Danio rerio: one gene and its partner. The protein of the gene in region 1 interacts with the protein of each later gene in a pairwise test. Links are inferred from orthologs where the notes say so. Each region holds a gene or a part of one and is shown on either strand. Other genes may lie near its edges.

Evidence for each region. The genes of interacting proteins can lie anywhere in the genome.
Region 2: the proteins of tsr2 (region 1) and rps26 interact in binary tests that used the Homo sapiens proteins (3 or more experiments, as listed by UniProt). The two-hybrid records come from large-scale screens. The link is inferred for Danio rerio from reciprocal best matches to the Homo sapiens genes TSR2 and RPS26.

What each region holds. Positions count from the first base shown.
Region 1 is NC_133183.1:9,896,172-9,904,435, forward strand, and holds the start of tsr2 (pre-rRNA-processing protein TSR2 homolog), read right to left. Parts: upstream 4,541-8,264; 5' UTR 4,528-4,540; coding exon 4,447-4,527; intron 3,834-4,446; coding exon 3,743-3,833; intron 3,415-3,742; coding exon 3,323-3,414; intron 1,493-3,322; coding exon 1,325-1,492; intron 1-1,324. UniProt on the Homo sapiens protein: May be involved in 20S pre-rRNA processing.
Region 2 is NC_133198.1:30,594,394-30,602,080, reverse strand, and holds rps26 (40S ribosomal protein S26), read right to left. Parts: upstream 4,831-7,687; 5' UTR 4,820-4,830; coding exon 4,817-4,819; intron 4,252-4,816; coding exon 4,074-4,251; intron 3,241-4,073; coding exon 3,110-3,240; intron 3,008-3,109; coding exon 2,972-3,007; 3' UTR 2,914-2,971; downstream 1-2,913.

The DNA.
Region 1 (8,264 bases):
TTACAGTTTTAGGGGCGTGTTGCTTCATATGAAAATTAGTTTCGGCTTCCCACCCAACTTAACAAGGGGGCGGAGCCAAAAGCTCCCACGCTCTGTGTTTGCAACAGACAGGCTGACAGACAGAGAGAGAGAAGCAAAGCTTAGCTAGGATCAGCATTCAGCCGTACATGTACGAGTAGGACTGACCAAGCAGATGGTACAAAATCATTTGTTTGTATAGTCTCTGTGTACAAGTGCCGAGCTTGTACACCGAGACTGATAACCAGACACACGGAATTAACCTTGATTGAGGCAATGACTGCGCCACGACACAGCACACCAGACACTCTCAGTGGCGTGGCAGAAACATGTCTCGAATCGAAACACACCACGCATTCGAGAACTCCAAACACAGGCCTCCACCAGGGCAACTACAACGGCGCCGCCAACCCAAAGCTCCGCCGCGTGCACCCCGACCGAAACCCACGCCCAGAACTCCGAAATGCACGGCGCCACGCAAATGGTACAAGCAATAATTCCGATTAGAGCGATAATGTGGAGAATATTGATCTTGTGTTGAGCCCAATGAGCTTTTCATCTAAAAATAGAGCAAGGGTGTTCCTTTAGTGACATCGCTTTGACTTACACACTGAAAATGGCGGATGTGAAACAAGAAACTGAGGATATGATCGTGACGCGAGGCTGACAATCAATATTGGTGGACGGGGGGACCGCTCTCCTACGTAAAGTTGCAGTCGGTCTAAAAACCGCTCCAATTGGTCAATCGTTTTTATGTAGTTAAATTGAAAAAAAAAAAGGACTGTGTGTGTTTATATTACCCCAATAGGACAGTCTAAACACTATACACACATACGTCCGTCCAAACAGCTTGAAAAGTAGATTTTTCACCATAGGTGCCCTTTAAATCACAGCAAAGTAGAACAGTGTTTCCCAACCCTGTTCCTGAAGGCACACCAACAGTACACATTTTCAACCTTTTCCTAATCAAACACACCTGAATCAGCTCATTGGAACATTAGAAGAGACTCCAAAATCTCAAATGAATGGATCAGATGAGGGAGACATTCAGTATGCTGTTGGTGTGCCTCAAGGAACAGGGTTGGGGAAACTACAGTAACGCCTGACCTAAGACAGGACAAACAGTGGCCTTCATTTAAAAATATTACTGTTATGTTGATGTAGACTTTTAAAGTGTAGATGTATAAGTGACATGCATATAAATCGATACATATATAAATAAAAAGTCTTTATATTCTACATAGAAATTGTCTAAAACACTGAAAAATGTATGATTGTTTTTTTTCTGAACACATATACACTGCACCTCTTCCTCATCATCATCATCATCATCATCCTGAGGTGTTTGTGCAGGAGTGGCTTTAGCTCTTCCGCTGCTTGTCTTCTTCTGTTTCAGTTTAAGGATCTGCTCTCTGACCTCCGCCAATCTGCCCTGCTCACACTGCTGGAACATCCCACACACCTGCTGCGCCACCTGACACACACAAAGAAACACACACATTTAATCATCCATGAGTTTCTATTCAGAGACAAATAAAAATGAGGACACGAAGTGATCAAATCAACAAAACAAAAATGCATACAAAACATGAACATGATCACTTGCGAAATAATTAAGTCCTTTCACAGGAGCGTTTATAATTGTGTCTTTAACGGGATAGAACAACAGATAGAATTATAGATAGAACGAGCTAAATAGAACACGCTAGATAGAGCAAGACTGATAGAACGAGACCAATAGAGCAAGACTGATAGAATAAGACTGATAGACTGATACAGAAATAAAATGATATAGATAGAATGATATAGAATGAGATAGATGGAATATTTATATACATAAATAGAACAATATATAGATGGACCGATAGAATGATAGATTTATAGAACAATTGATATATAGATAGAATGATATACAGTTGAACTCAGAATTATTAGCCCCCCTGACTTATTAAACCGCTTGTTTATGTTTTCCCCAAATTCTGTTTAACGGAGAGATTTTTTCAACATTTCTAAACATAATAATTTAATAACACATTTGTAATAATGTATTTATTTTATCTTTGCCAAGATGACAGTAAATAATATTTGACTAGATCTTTTTCAAGACACTTTCATACAGCTTAAAGTGACTTTTAAAGGCTTAACTAGGTTAATTAGGTTAACTAGGCAGGTTAGGGTAATTAGGCAAGTTATTGTATAACGGTGGTTTGTTCTGTAGGCAATCGAGAAAAAGTCTAGCTTAAAGGGGCTAATAATATTACCCCTAAAATGGTGTTTAATAAATTAAAAACAGCTTTTATTTTAGCCGAAATAAAACAAATGAGACTTTCTCCAGAAGAAAAAATATTATCAGACATACTGTGAAAATGTCCTTGCTCTGTTAAACATCATTTGAAAATTATTTTAAAAAAAGAAGAAAAAAAATTGAAGGGGGCTGATAATTCTGACTTCAACTGTAGATGTATAAATAGAATGATAGATCGATAAAACAATAGATACAGAGAATGATATATAGAATAACATAGACATATGAATAGACTTATAGATATAACGTTATAGATCTATCAAAGGATAGAACGATAGACTAAAACAACAGAGCAATAGATAAAACGATAGCTAGAATGATAGATATACAGATGGAACGACATAGCTCTGCAGAGAAAACAATAGAACGATAGACAGAATGAAAAATGAGGATAGAACGATAAGATAGAACAATAATAGAATGATCGACAGATAGAATAATAAATATATAGAACAACAGATAAAATGATAGACAGAATGAAAGATCGATAGATCAATAAAACGATGGATAGATGGATGGATGGATAGAGATAGAGACATAGCTATGTCTATGTAAGATTGATAGAACAATAGACAGAATGACAGATATATGGATAGAACAACAGATAGAATGACATGGATATATAGACAGAATAATAGACAGAATGTTAGATGGATCAAAACAATAAATTAATCAAACAATGGATAGAATAATAGATAGAATAAAAAAGATATATAGAACAATGGATAGATGTATAGATAGAACAACAGATAGTATGATATAAATAGATAAAATATAGAAAGGAAGGTAGATGATAATAATCTCTCACACACACACACACACACACACACACACACACACACACACACACACACACACACACACACACACACACACACACACACACACACACACACACACACACACACACACACACACACACACACACACACACACACACACACACCTCCAGCTAGCTTTCATTCAGATCTCTCATGTCAAGACCAAAAGACAACAGACCTGAGGCAGACTGCCATCATCCACCACTGTGTTGAACTCATTGTTCATGAGCTCAGAGATAAAGTCCTCCACCTCATCCTGCTGGAGATCACCTGTGGACACAAACAGACCATCTGTCAGCTCTTAAAGAGACAATTCACTAAAATAGAACAATTTACACACCCTCACCAGCTCACACTCGAGTGGCTTCAAAAGATATTTTGAAGAGTCCTGAAAACCATTGACACCCAGAGTACGAAAAAACACTGGGATAGTCAGTGGTTACTGGTTTCAAACATTCTTCAAAATAACTTATTTTGTGTTTAACGCAATAAAAAAATCAAACTGGTTTGGAACAAGTGAAGGGTGAGAAAATTATGACAGAATGTTCAGTCGTGGGTTTCTTGGCGGTTGCTAAGGTGTTGAGTGCAGCGCTCTGACCGTTGTCGGTGAAGTATTGCTGCAGCGCGTCCACCATCCACTCCGCCTTCTGCTGACTGAACGCTCCACCGAAGCCGTTGTCCACCGCTATCTAATAACAAAACACATTATTTACTGTGTGTGTATATATGTATGTATATATATATATATATATATATATATATATATATATATATATATATATATATATATATATATATGTATGTATATATATATATATATATATATATATATATACATATATGTATATATATATATGTATATATATATATATGTATGTATATATATATATATATATATATGTGTATATATATATATATATATATATATATATGTGTATATATATATATGTATATATATGTATATATATATATATATACACATATATATATATATATACATATATATATATATATACACATATATATGTATATATATATATATATATATGTATATATATATATATATATATATATATATATATATATATATATATATATATATATATATATATGTATGTATATGTATATATACACGAGCAGCTGAAAGAAATATCGCGACACAGACATGTTTACACTGTGAAGCGCATCCTGATATCAGTCTGCTTGCCGATTCATATCAGACTGAAGCTTACGTAATAGATTTTGCAGACATGGTATCATATGATATGTATTTCCGATCACAAATGCTATTAGTTTACTAACTTGCAGCACCGGCCAAGTTTCCAAAACAGCCCGAACTGCTTCACTGAACACCTCACGTGTGGACGATGAGAGCGGCGCCATCTTGAAAACCAGCATACCCGAAGGGTCGATCGCAGATTTCAAGAGATTCCCTAGGCAAAAGAATCGATCACAGAAACCGCCAAAGCACCTTCTTTTCATCCGCATTTACATTTTTCTTTTCAAAATTGCACATATTTTTCAATATTATAAAGTGGTTATTATGTAAGATTATAAACTCAGCATTGTGACTCTAAATACATTATAGGACAGCATTGGTTTAGTGCTGTTGTTTTATTATTTTGCTATTTTCATTGAGGTGTTTTAGCCTATTTTGGTATTGCATAACTATCAGGAACAAACATACAACACAATATAAAAGATGAAACAAAAAAACTAATTTAATAATCGTAAAAAAATATTTATAGATAAATATATAATAATGAATAAAAATAACTAATTAAAATGAATACACAAAGCATAGTGTACAGAAATTCTACATCCAATGATTTTAAAAACTGACAGGGGAATCAAACAAGTGTTATAATAGTTAATACATATCTCAGATTTTTTTGCTTTTCAATCATTTCACAGAAATAAAGTCAAACTAGATACAGAAAACTGTTAATGTGGGAGATGATTTAGCCAATTCCTGTTTGTGTATGTACAATTTTGCCAATAAAATAGAGATTAAAACTAAATTCAAGACTTCTGTTGGATCTGTTTTCTTAAAAATAATAAGTTTAGTCATTTTAAAAATATATTAAAAATATAAAAATTACATACAAAAATATATTTGGCTAGATCCTTTCAGAAATAATGTTAGTATATGTATCAAATATTGTACAATTACTTTAAAAGATTTTGGTTTTTTAATGATAAATGTGTTGTTTAAAAGTTAGGCGTTTGTTTTTTAAGTTTTATAAAGCTAAGGTTTTATAAAGGTTTTAAGGCAGGGGTCACCACTCCCGGTGTAGCAGTCGATTCTGTTCCCTTCTGGATTTCCAGTTCCCCCTCTACAAAGGGTGTTCGTACAGCTTTTGCAGACACCTAAACACAACTGGGTGTACAGAAAGCAGACTAGTGGTTCTAAAAGTACATATTTTTTCTGAACTTGAAAATGAAAAGGACTAATATAACTGTAGGCCTTCACGCAATATTGAACTAGGGTGCATAAACTCAAACATTTAAAAAAAAAGTTAATAATACTAACAAGAACCAAAAAAAAATACTTCATGGGAGAGTTAGATTCATTTTATTAAGCTACTTTGGCATTGCAAGACATGAAAGCAATGTCCATTTTGGCTTTCCGTACACCTAGTTGTGTTGGGGTTGTGTCTGCAGACTCTGTTAGCGGACTTGCTTTGTAGAGGGGGAACCAGAATCGACTGCTACACTGGTCTTGGATGGCCAGTGTCCCTCCAGAGTTTAGCTCCAACTTGCCTCAACACACCTGCCTGGATGTTTCGAGCATACGTAGTAAGAGCTCGATTAGCTTGTTCAGGTGTGCTTGATTAGAGTTGGAGCTAAAATCTGCAGGACACCGGCCCTCCAGGAATAAGTGTGATGACACCTGCCGTTTTAAGGGTTCAATTTCATTAGGCAGATTTTGAAATGGAGTCAAGTAATTAATTACTTATTGAGTAAATAAGTTACATTTTAGATAAGCTAGAAAAGTAATTTAAATACAATTTAAACCATATAATTAGTAATTACTTTTTGAAGTAACTTAATTAAACTGGTCAGGCGAGAGCAATTGGGTAAAAGCTAAACTTTTTTTGATTTTCCCATTTCAGCCACAAACTAATTGTGATGCGCACTTACATTTAGTAATGCTTTTTATTTCAAAAGGCCACATATTGATCAAGATCATAAAGCAAACTGAATAAAAGCAGCTTTTTGAATTTAATGTAAATACTTTTTAATGGCCGTGAAGTAAGATTTAATCCAAATGTAGAAGCTATTATCATTCTGACCCTCATCACATTGAGGAAAAGTTGGCTTTATATTTGCACATTTGTTCATTTTAATGGCTCCTATATTGTTTACCATGCTACTTTGAATATTTAGCCTGAAATTGCATCCAAGTATGACTGTAAACAATGTTGTACTTAGATGGTCATTGGCTGTTTACATGTTTGTTTGTTTTTGCCAATATATAATTAGCAATGTTTTTTTCTGAAATTAGATTATTATTAAGGAGAAAGTCTGAATGTGTGAATATAAAACCAACTTTATCTCAATCCTCATCACTACACCCCCAGAACACACATCAGCCGCTCAGAGGGAAACTGAACTGGACCCCGGCTTACAGTCACCCACCAATCGAAGCTTCACCACTGAACTCCACTTAAGAGTGAGAGATGTTTGGGCAGGTATTGACCATGGAAAAAGTGACTGAGCTGAGCCAGAACATCACCCCACCTGACGCCGATGGTCATTCTCATGGATATGGTGTGAGGGAACAACTCATCAATATCCAAACAGAGACTCTGTGAATAATGAACAAACAGACCAGTCCATCACATGCTGGGAGTGTGGTCCTCATAAAATGTTCTATCTATTATTGCTGTTAATTGTTTTTGATTACTATATTACTTATATATTTTGGTAAAGTTGGTTTTACATTCGCACATTCAGACTTTCCCATTAATAATAGAGATTCAGAACAGCATTCCCTGAAAACTCTAAATATTGAAATTATATCAACAACCAACTACTATCGAAGTACAACATTGCTCACAGTCAATTTAATAGTGCTAATGATGTTTTTGAAGTCATAATTGCATGAGATTTCACAACCAATATTTAAAGTAGCATGACAAACAATTAGGGATATATATATATATATATATATATATATATATATATATATATATATATATATATATTTTTTTTTTTTTTTTTTTTTTTGTGGTTTGTTTTATTATTATTATTTATATTTATTATGAGTTAAAGGATTTGGTTGCCACCATATTTTTTCCAATATAGGCCCAACCACACCTCTTTACAAAATGCAACTACATTTTCTCATTTTTAATTGCACAGTGAAAGGGGAACGTGGTTACAGTACCCCATTGTAGTTATTTTAGGTCGTTATGCATTTGTAATTAAGTAAATTTGTATAATTGTTTATTTCAGAATATTTTGGTAGAACAATTATGTTTGCCAATTTACACCAACACAAACTGAATAAAACATACAATTATATAGCCTACACTGATACTGCCTGATTATTTATTTAGTGAAAAGTGTGGGCAATTGGAACTGTTTGTAGGCATTTATCAGTGTCACTAAACCAGGATAAGGCTTGTGGATTACTGTAGGCCTTAAAAAGGCTTAAAAAAATTTAAACATATCGAACCTAAATTTTAAGCAGCAGCATTACCCGTTAGCTAACGATTAAAAATTTAAACCAATGACCTTTAAAGCTTTCATTTTAAACAAATCTAGACTCAAGAATATTAAACTCTAACATAAAAATTCATCATTAATAACCCGTATACATCACTTTTAATCTAGCAATTTGCTGTCTAGCAAACTCTTATGAAACACTTAATGCTTTATTTATCCAATTTTAATACCTTGTTTGAAACGCACACTTACTGTTTCGTCGCAGGTTGTTTCTTTAATCCTTGTTTGGGTCGAGGTTCCTGTGAATGAGTGTGTCCCCCATCTCTGCGGTCACTGGCAAAAGCTTGAAAGAGGGAGCAGTAGACATTTATGCCTCCCGCTTCAGCGGGACGATACCAACTCAGAGCAAATCACGGGGGAGGACCGATGTGGTAAAGCTTAATGGT
Region 2 (7,687 bases), on another chromosome or scaffold:
CAACTGAGAAAGAGAGACTTAGCGTTTTTGGGGAGGCAGGGATCAAACTCTGTCGTTCTTGGGCTTTATCCCTGGATTCAATGTTTTTAAATATTTTGTGAGAGAAAAAAAATGTATATGACAAAGAAAAACTCTTTACCTCAAATTTGTTAAAATATAAAAAAACTGCCTCATGTTCTATAAAAAGGTGTGTTGGTTTCAAGAGGTATTGTTTATTTGATCTTGTTTTTAAGGAGTGTAACCCAACTTTAAGTTGAAGTAATTTTTCATGTCCAATAAAGTAATATTTGTTGTAACTTCTGTCGCTTACAACTCTAAACACTTTTTCCCTAATTTATGTCCAGTCTTGATCAAATTTCAGTTGTCAAATTATTTTAACCAGAGATGCTCAACCCTGTTACTGGGATCTACCTTTCTGCAGATTTCAGTTGCAATCCATATCAAACACACCTGCCTGTAATTATCAAGTGCTGTTCAGGACCTAATTAATTGGTTCAGGTGTGTTTGATCAGGGTTGGAGCTGAACTAATCAGGAAGGTAGATCCCCAGGAACAGGGTTGAGCATCCCTGATTTAAAGTATATCTTGTATTATTTTTTAGTTTACTTGACCCAACAGTGTTAATAATATAGTGTTGCTATGTTTTATTTCCAAGTCTTTAGGTTTAGCAATTATACCGTTTATTAGGATTCAGTTTCAGGTTCATGTTTTATTTCAACCGGTTTAAATTTATTTCCATGTAATGTTTGTATTTGATTTCGCTTTTATTTAAATGAACTTTCCATAGTTTGTTTTTACCAGGGGTGTCAACTTAGTCCTGGTGAGCCGGGGTCCGTTCTTCGTACCTCGCTTAAATGATCTAAGATGATTTGGCAGATCCTGAATCTTTTAATCTTGATAACTGATCTCTCGCTTATTTGGTTCTTCAAACAAGTTCGCGAATCAGATTAGAATGTCTGGATGAACTGATCTGAGATCGCTGCGTTTGTTGTTAAGGACAGATCTATCGATCCTCGAAATCATGATCAGCAATGCAACGATTGGCTGACGGCACAGCAGCGTAATGACATCATCTGATTAATATTCAATTATCCATGTGAGCAAAATTACATCAAATTAGCAGTAAACGGCTTGTTAAATAAGACACGCAGTAACTTCACATTTGTTGTGAGCTGCAGGCTTTACACTTTCATTTGTCAAGACAAGAGTATTCATCATGTATTTCAATGCAAATCAGTGTATTTAGTTCTACATTTAGAAAAGATTTTCTTTATTATAGTACAGTTTTTTAATCGGTGTAAAGAATAACTGGTTGTTTCCAAAAGCATTTTGATATTGGTAAAGGCGTCTGCAACTTTTGTGAAGCATCAAATCACTGGCATATTAACTGTCAAAACATGTTTATGACTGCATAAATGTATTATTGCTTTTAAAAAAAAGTCACATATTGTGCATTTCTATTATACACAATTTGTACTAAAGCGATCTAAAAAGTTCATACCAATAAGTTTTCTCTTTGCACCACCAGGTGGCAGTCTTTGTACTTTCATTTCGAGGGTGCAGATTGCATACGTTTTATTAATATGTAAAACTTTATTTATTTTATTAATGACTATAACTTTAAATATATAGTTAAAAACTACTATTTTCCCAAGTGTATATAACTTTTACTGTAAGAAAATATCAGAACTCGGTACATACTTTCTGTATTATCTTTGCTTGAACTGAGCCGATCTAATCCTGTTTATATGATTTGAACCTGCTCCCGATCAGGTTTGACCTAGCAGATCTGTTGCCATGACAACAACTCTCGGATCAGCTTTGAAGAACGAAACGATCCTGGATCGTGTCAAATCGTCAATATCCAAATCCAGCTAACTGAGTAATCCACGTACGAAGAACTGACCCCCGGTGTCCTGCTGAGTTTAACTCCAACTTGCTTTAACACACCTACCAGGAAGTTTCTAGTATATCTAGTAAGAGCTTGATTAGCAGGTTCAGGTTTGATTAAGGTTGGAGCTAAACTTTCCCGGACACCAGCCCTCCGGTACTGAGTTTGGACACCCATGATTTACACAAACAGTTTCAGCATATTATATACTATTGTCAAGTAACCGTCTAATTTTAATATTAACAGTATTCCTTTAAAAAGGTAACATGAACCACTCTAACAATTAACAAATGTATATTTACATTAATCTATCTTTAATTTCATTTTCCTTCGGCTTAGTCCATTTAATAATCAGGGGTTGCCACAGCGGAACGAACTGCCAACTTATCCAGCATATGTTTTACCAAGCGGATACCCTTCTAGCCACAACCCAGCACTCGGAAACAACCATACATTCTGGCATGCACACACACATACACTACAGCCAATTTAGTTTATTCAATTCACCTATAACGCATAGCTTTGGACTGTGGGGGTAACCAGAGCACACAGAGGAAACCCATGCGAACACGGAGAACATGTAAACTCCACACAGAAATGCCAACTGACTCGAACAAGCGACCTTCTTGCTGTGAGGTAACAGTGCTAACCGCTGCACCACCTTTATCTGTAATACATTAGGTTATTCCTAATTTAATGCTTTACCATTCATTTATTCAAAAACGTAACCCCTTAATGGTCAGCCCATTTTTATGGTTGAACAATGCATGATATATAGTAGTCAACATTTAGGTGGATCATAAAAAGAACAAGTATAGTTTCAGTTCCACTTTAAGGAAAGGTTTTAATCCACTTCAAATGTTGACTACTGTAGTTTATCAAGGTAACACAATATACTGAAAAACATCCCACTTATGGAACTGAGCGTTTAAATAGGTAATAAAAAATATGAACAAAATTTGTAGTATTGTCTATTCAAAATGCATTTCGGTAAACTTTAGTAACCAATAACAAAAGAACACATTAACATTTAAGTCAATTTTATTTCTTTACATAAAAAAATTATGTAAACGGCTCCAGATCACATTGGTTTTGGAGGAGCTCTTGGGGCACCACCCTGGAAAAAGAAACAGAAAACAGTTACATATAGATAAAAAAGCATAAAATAGCATGTTTTATTTATTCATGTTTGTAACACTGATGTGAAGACCAGACTTACAGTAGGCCTGAAGCGTGGAGGTGGTGTACGGTCCTTCCTGGCCTCGCGAGAGCGGTTCCTCACCACTTTACTGTGGATGGCACAGCTGACACAGTAGTGCAGCTTCACATAGAGTTTGGGCAAAACATAGGCTGCACAAAAACAAAACATAACTGTTAATATTGTACAATGCCTCTGTCATGCTTTGCCATGCATCATGTAGTATGTAATGTAACCTTTTATAAATCTTAGTCTGCAAAGCTTCAATGATCAAAGTGCACAATACATAACTAATCTCTCCCTGAAAAAATAAGCACAAATGTATGTAGGTTTCTAGCAAATTAGCATAATTTCATACTTGAATGGTCTTCAAAGCCTGCGAAGTAAACAATGTCAACTTTGAGCCTTATAAACAACCTGTTGTGTTGAGATGCTGCTTATTTTGCTGCAACAGCTAATTAACTTATCAGCACTCCCAAAGGACGAAGTCTGCAGATCAAATTGCTACAGTAAAACGGGCACTACTGTTACAGCTCATATCACTGTATTTGAAAGTGTAGAGAAAGCTTCCAGAGAAATTAAATTATGGCAGTGGTGTCTAAACTATATCCTGTAGAGTTTAGGGCCAACTGCCTGGAAGCTAGTGTGTTTAATTGTAACTGAAACCAATTTTTTTTAGGACAGTGGTGCTCCAGGATTTTAGTTTGAACACCCTAGAGATATGAGAATGACTATGGCTTCCAACATTTGTTGTAAGTGGTTGACTCATCACAGCAGACTGGCCAATCTGAACAGGCACTCAAAAAGCAAAGGATTAGAAAGATTGGATCGTGGAATGGACCATTTTAGACTGGATGCTGCCACCTGTATTATACGATTTTTGATCTTTGATGATCTATTGTAGGAGACATCTAAAACAATAGTTTCAAAAGGGCACTAGGGACACAATCAGTGTCCTCATTTTCTAAAGCAACTGTTTACTCACAATCAAACACACTGGCTTCAGAGATGTCCCTGACTGCAGCAGCCTCCACAATATTCCTGATGACAAACTTCTTAATGGCCTTGTCCTTGGGCACACAGCGGGCGCAGTTTGTGCAGCGGATGGGCTGGACATGCCCTCGTCCCTTCTTAGCACGACCGTTATTCCTCCTCTTCTTAGTCTAAGATGTGGAAAAGTACAATGAGAAGTGGTTTTCAGGGGACAACCTAAAAACACTGATTTACTTCATTTCAGGCTTGGGCATGTTACTTAAAATTATATATTTACTTTATAACGCTTTGAAATAAACTTACATACTGCAATTGCTATAAAAAAACACAATAAAAATTATGTGTTATGATACACTTTTCATTTAACATGCAATAAGGCCTATTGTGTATTAAATGATATAGTGTGGTGATTTAATTTTAACTTTACAATTTTGAAATACATATATAAAAAGATCACTTTTATGTTTGCGTGCGTAAAGGCGTAACTTGTAGATGCATTACGTTTAAATGTAATAGTTGTGAATGCGTACGATGCTTTAGTGTAACGTTACATGCGTAGACACCTCAGGCGTTTTATCGCTTCAATGGGTTAATTTGCCTAAAAACCGATTAGTGTTTGCTGATGAATGAATAAACTTCACTCCGAAACGCGTACCCGGCGAGATAATACGCCGTATCGTAAAGATCGAGCCAGAATACAGGACTAGCCTCTGACTGAACGATTGGTAAACTCACCATCTTGATTTTAGAGAGGCATGAAAGAGGACCGGAAAAGCTCTTACGTCATTTTTATAGTTCACACGGCGGCCGGAAGTATGTAGTTAAGAAAATAAAAGCCCTAAAAGTAAACCCATTTTATTATTTCAATAATCGATTACAGATCTTAATATTGTGCAATTTTAATATATAAACATTTGAACGAATTCTTCATATTATGTTTTACCTGTGATATAATGCACATACAAAGAGAGATGGTGCTCGACGTAAAGTGAGGTAACATGACCTCCCTGAAAGAACAGGAGAAATATGACATCTTGGTAAACCCAAATACTGCAAGGTAAATATACATGTCACAGATGAGACCCATTGTGGTGCTGCAATTAATACTGTATTAAGAGGTAGCAGTCCTCTATCTCCAATTTTATATGTATGCATGGGTTTATTTGTTTGTTTTATTACTAAAAGCTAACAGTAGTAACAAATATGCAAGTCTTTCTTTCTTTTTTCTTGAACTGGGGTTGATGTAGCAAAAACTAACATGGTCACTTTGTCACAGTAATTAACACAGATGAACCATTTTCGTAAAGAATTGTTTATCCATTGTGTGTGTGTGTGTGTGTGTGTGTGTGTGTGTGTGTGTGTGTGTGTGTGTGTGTGTGTGTGTGTCTGTCATAAAAATGAAACTGCCAAACTTATTTCTTTTTTTATATCTAGTTTTTATAGATTTTTTTTTGGATCATATAACCAGTGGAAACAAACAAGTGGAAACGAACAAACTAATTACAAATACTCAAATTACTGTGTTTGAGTGGTTTTTGTTTACTTTTCTTAAACAAATATTAATTACTGTCATCATGTCAACGTTAAAATTAATCAGTTATTAGAAATTAGTTATTAAAACTATTATGTTTAGAAATGTGTTGAAAAAAAAATATTTTCTTCTTTAAACAGAAATTGGGGAACAAATATGGGGGGGGTAATAATTCAGGGGGGCTAATAATTCTGAGTTCAACTAAACATTAATGACTTATTACTCTATATAATTTAGAAAATGTTTTAGTCGTTCTCTTCTTGTACGTCTGAATGAAAATCTAAACAAGCTGATTGTTCCAATTTTCATCCTGTATTTCTTTCATATAATAGTCCCGCAACTGTAAATATCTAAATAGGTTTTGTTTTAGAAAACCAAACTTATCTTTTAAAGTTTGGAAGCATTCCATTCTGCCAACTTTTATAGTTGCACAAAATGAAGAGATTCCTAATAATACCCATTGTCCCAGGTTTAAAATCCAATTCCAAATCCATTCAAAATTTGAATTTCCCGTACTTATTTCAATACTTAAAAAGTCAATTCTATAACATTTTATTGACAAAACATCCTGATGAAAAATGAGTACAGTACAGCCTATAGTGGCATTATATAAATCTTCTAATTTGCCATCAAATGATTCTTGTTAATCTGGAGACTATATGTTTTTTTGTACACTGGGTAATATTTAGTGGGTGATTTCTTTCAATCAAAATCAAAAGTTAAAAAAATAGGCAACAGTTGCATATAAATCTGTATAAAACCTTGAATTCATTTGATGCTTGAAATCTGTGACTTATTGAGATTTCCACTAGATGTCAGTAAAGCCTATGAGAACTAAGACTCTTAATCTGGTGTAGTCAGTCACTTATTCATCAGTGCTTAATGTTGTACCCAAGCAAAGAAGATTGGTGAGATAGCCTACCACCATATTTTGTCACGACCAGTTATCTGATTATTGTTCTGGAATGATCCTTGTTAGTATATGTGTTAGTTATTGTATATTTTCCTGTATCAGACTTGTGTACTATGCTCAAGAGCTGTCACTTCTTTCCATTTCTAAAATGATTGACGATTGGTTGTTGATATTCTGAAATAACCTCTGGTTTGCTTCTGGAGGTGATTATAGAGTTGGTTTTTGGAGTTGAGTGGCAATGAGGGATGTGTACTTATGCAAGCTGCTCTCAGTATGGAAGAGTGGATGTGTAGCTCCTGCGGTAGACTGTCCCCTGTGTCACTGCATTGAAGGAACTGTTGCCAAAAAACCCTTTTCTTTATTGGTTCATGATGGGAATGGAAAGGACCCACTGACAGAAAGGAACACACAATCAAATTCACTCCCATTCTTATTGTAAATTTCTTTGAACGTGTAATAATTTTAAGATATTAATTTCAGGGCGTCACAGTGGTTCAGCATGATCACCTCACAGCAAATAGTGTTGCTGGTTCGAGCCTCGATTGGGTCAGTTGGCATTTCTATGTGGAGTTCACATGTTCTTCCCGTGTTCGTGTGGGTTTCTCCGGGTGCTCCAATTTTCCCCACAAGTCCAAAGACGTGCGCTATAGGTGAATTAGGTAGGCTAAATTGTCCATAGTGTATAAGTGTATACAGATGTTTCGCAGTGATTGGTTTGCAGCTTTAAGAGCATCTGCTGTGTAAAACATATGCTGAGTAAGTTGGCAGGTTATCCCATTGTGGCAACCCCAGATTAATAAAAGGAGTAGCCAAAAAGAGTCATATGATTCTAAACTTTTAAGAATTTCAATCTTCAGATGAACACAAAGGAAGAGTGACTGAAGAATGCTTGAAAAAGGCAGCCATTAACCTCCGTTGTAGGAACAAAAATACTGTGGAAATCACCTGCTGTTTTTCCAGCATTTTTCAGTCAATCTTCCCTTGTGTTTAATCGAAGACTGAAACTCGGGTTTAGAATAAGTGGAGGATGAGTAAACGATGACAAAATAAAATTGTTTTGGTGAACTATGCCTTTAAGCCATCATGAGATGAAGAGGAAAAAGGCAGACATGGTGACACAGGAATGTGTCAGTGTTTCTGTAACCGCTATGCCCCTAAACTG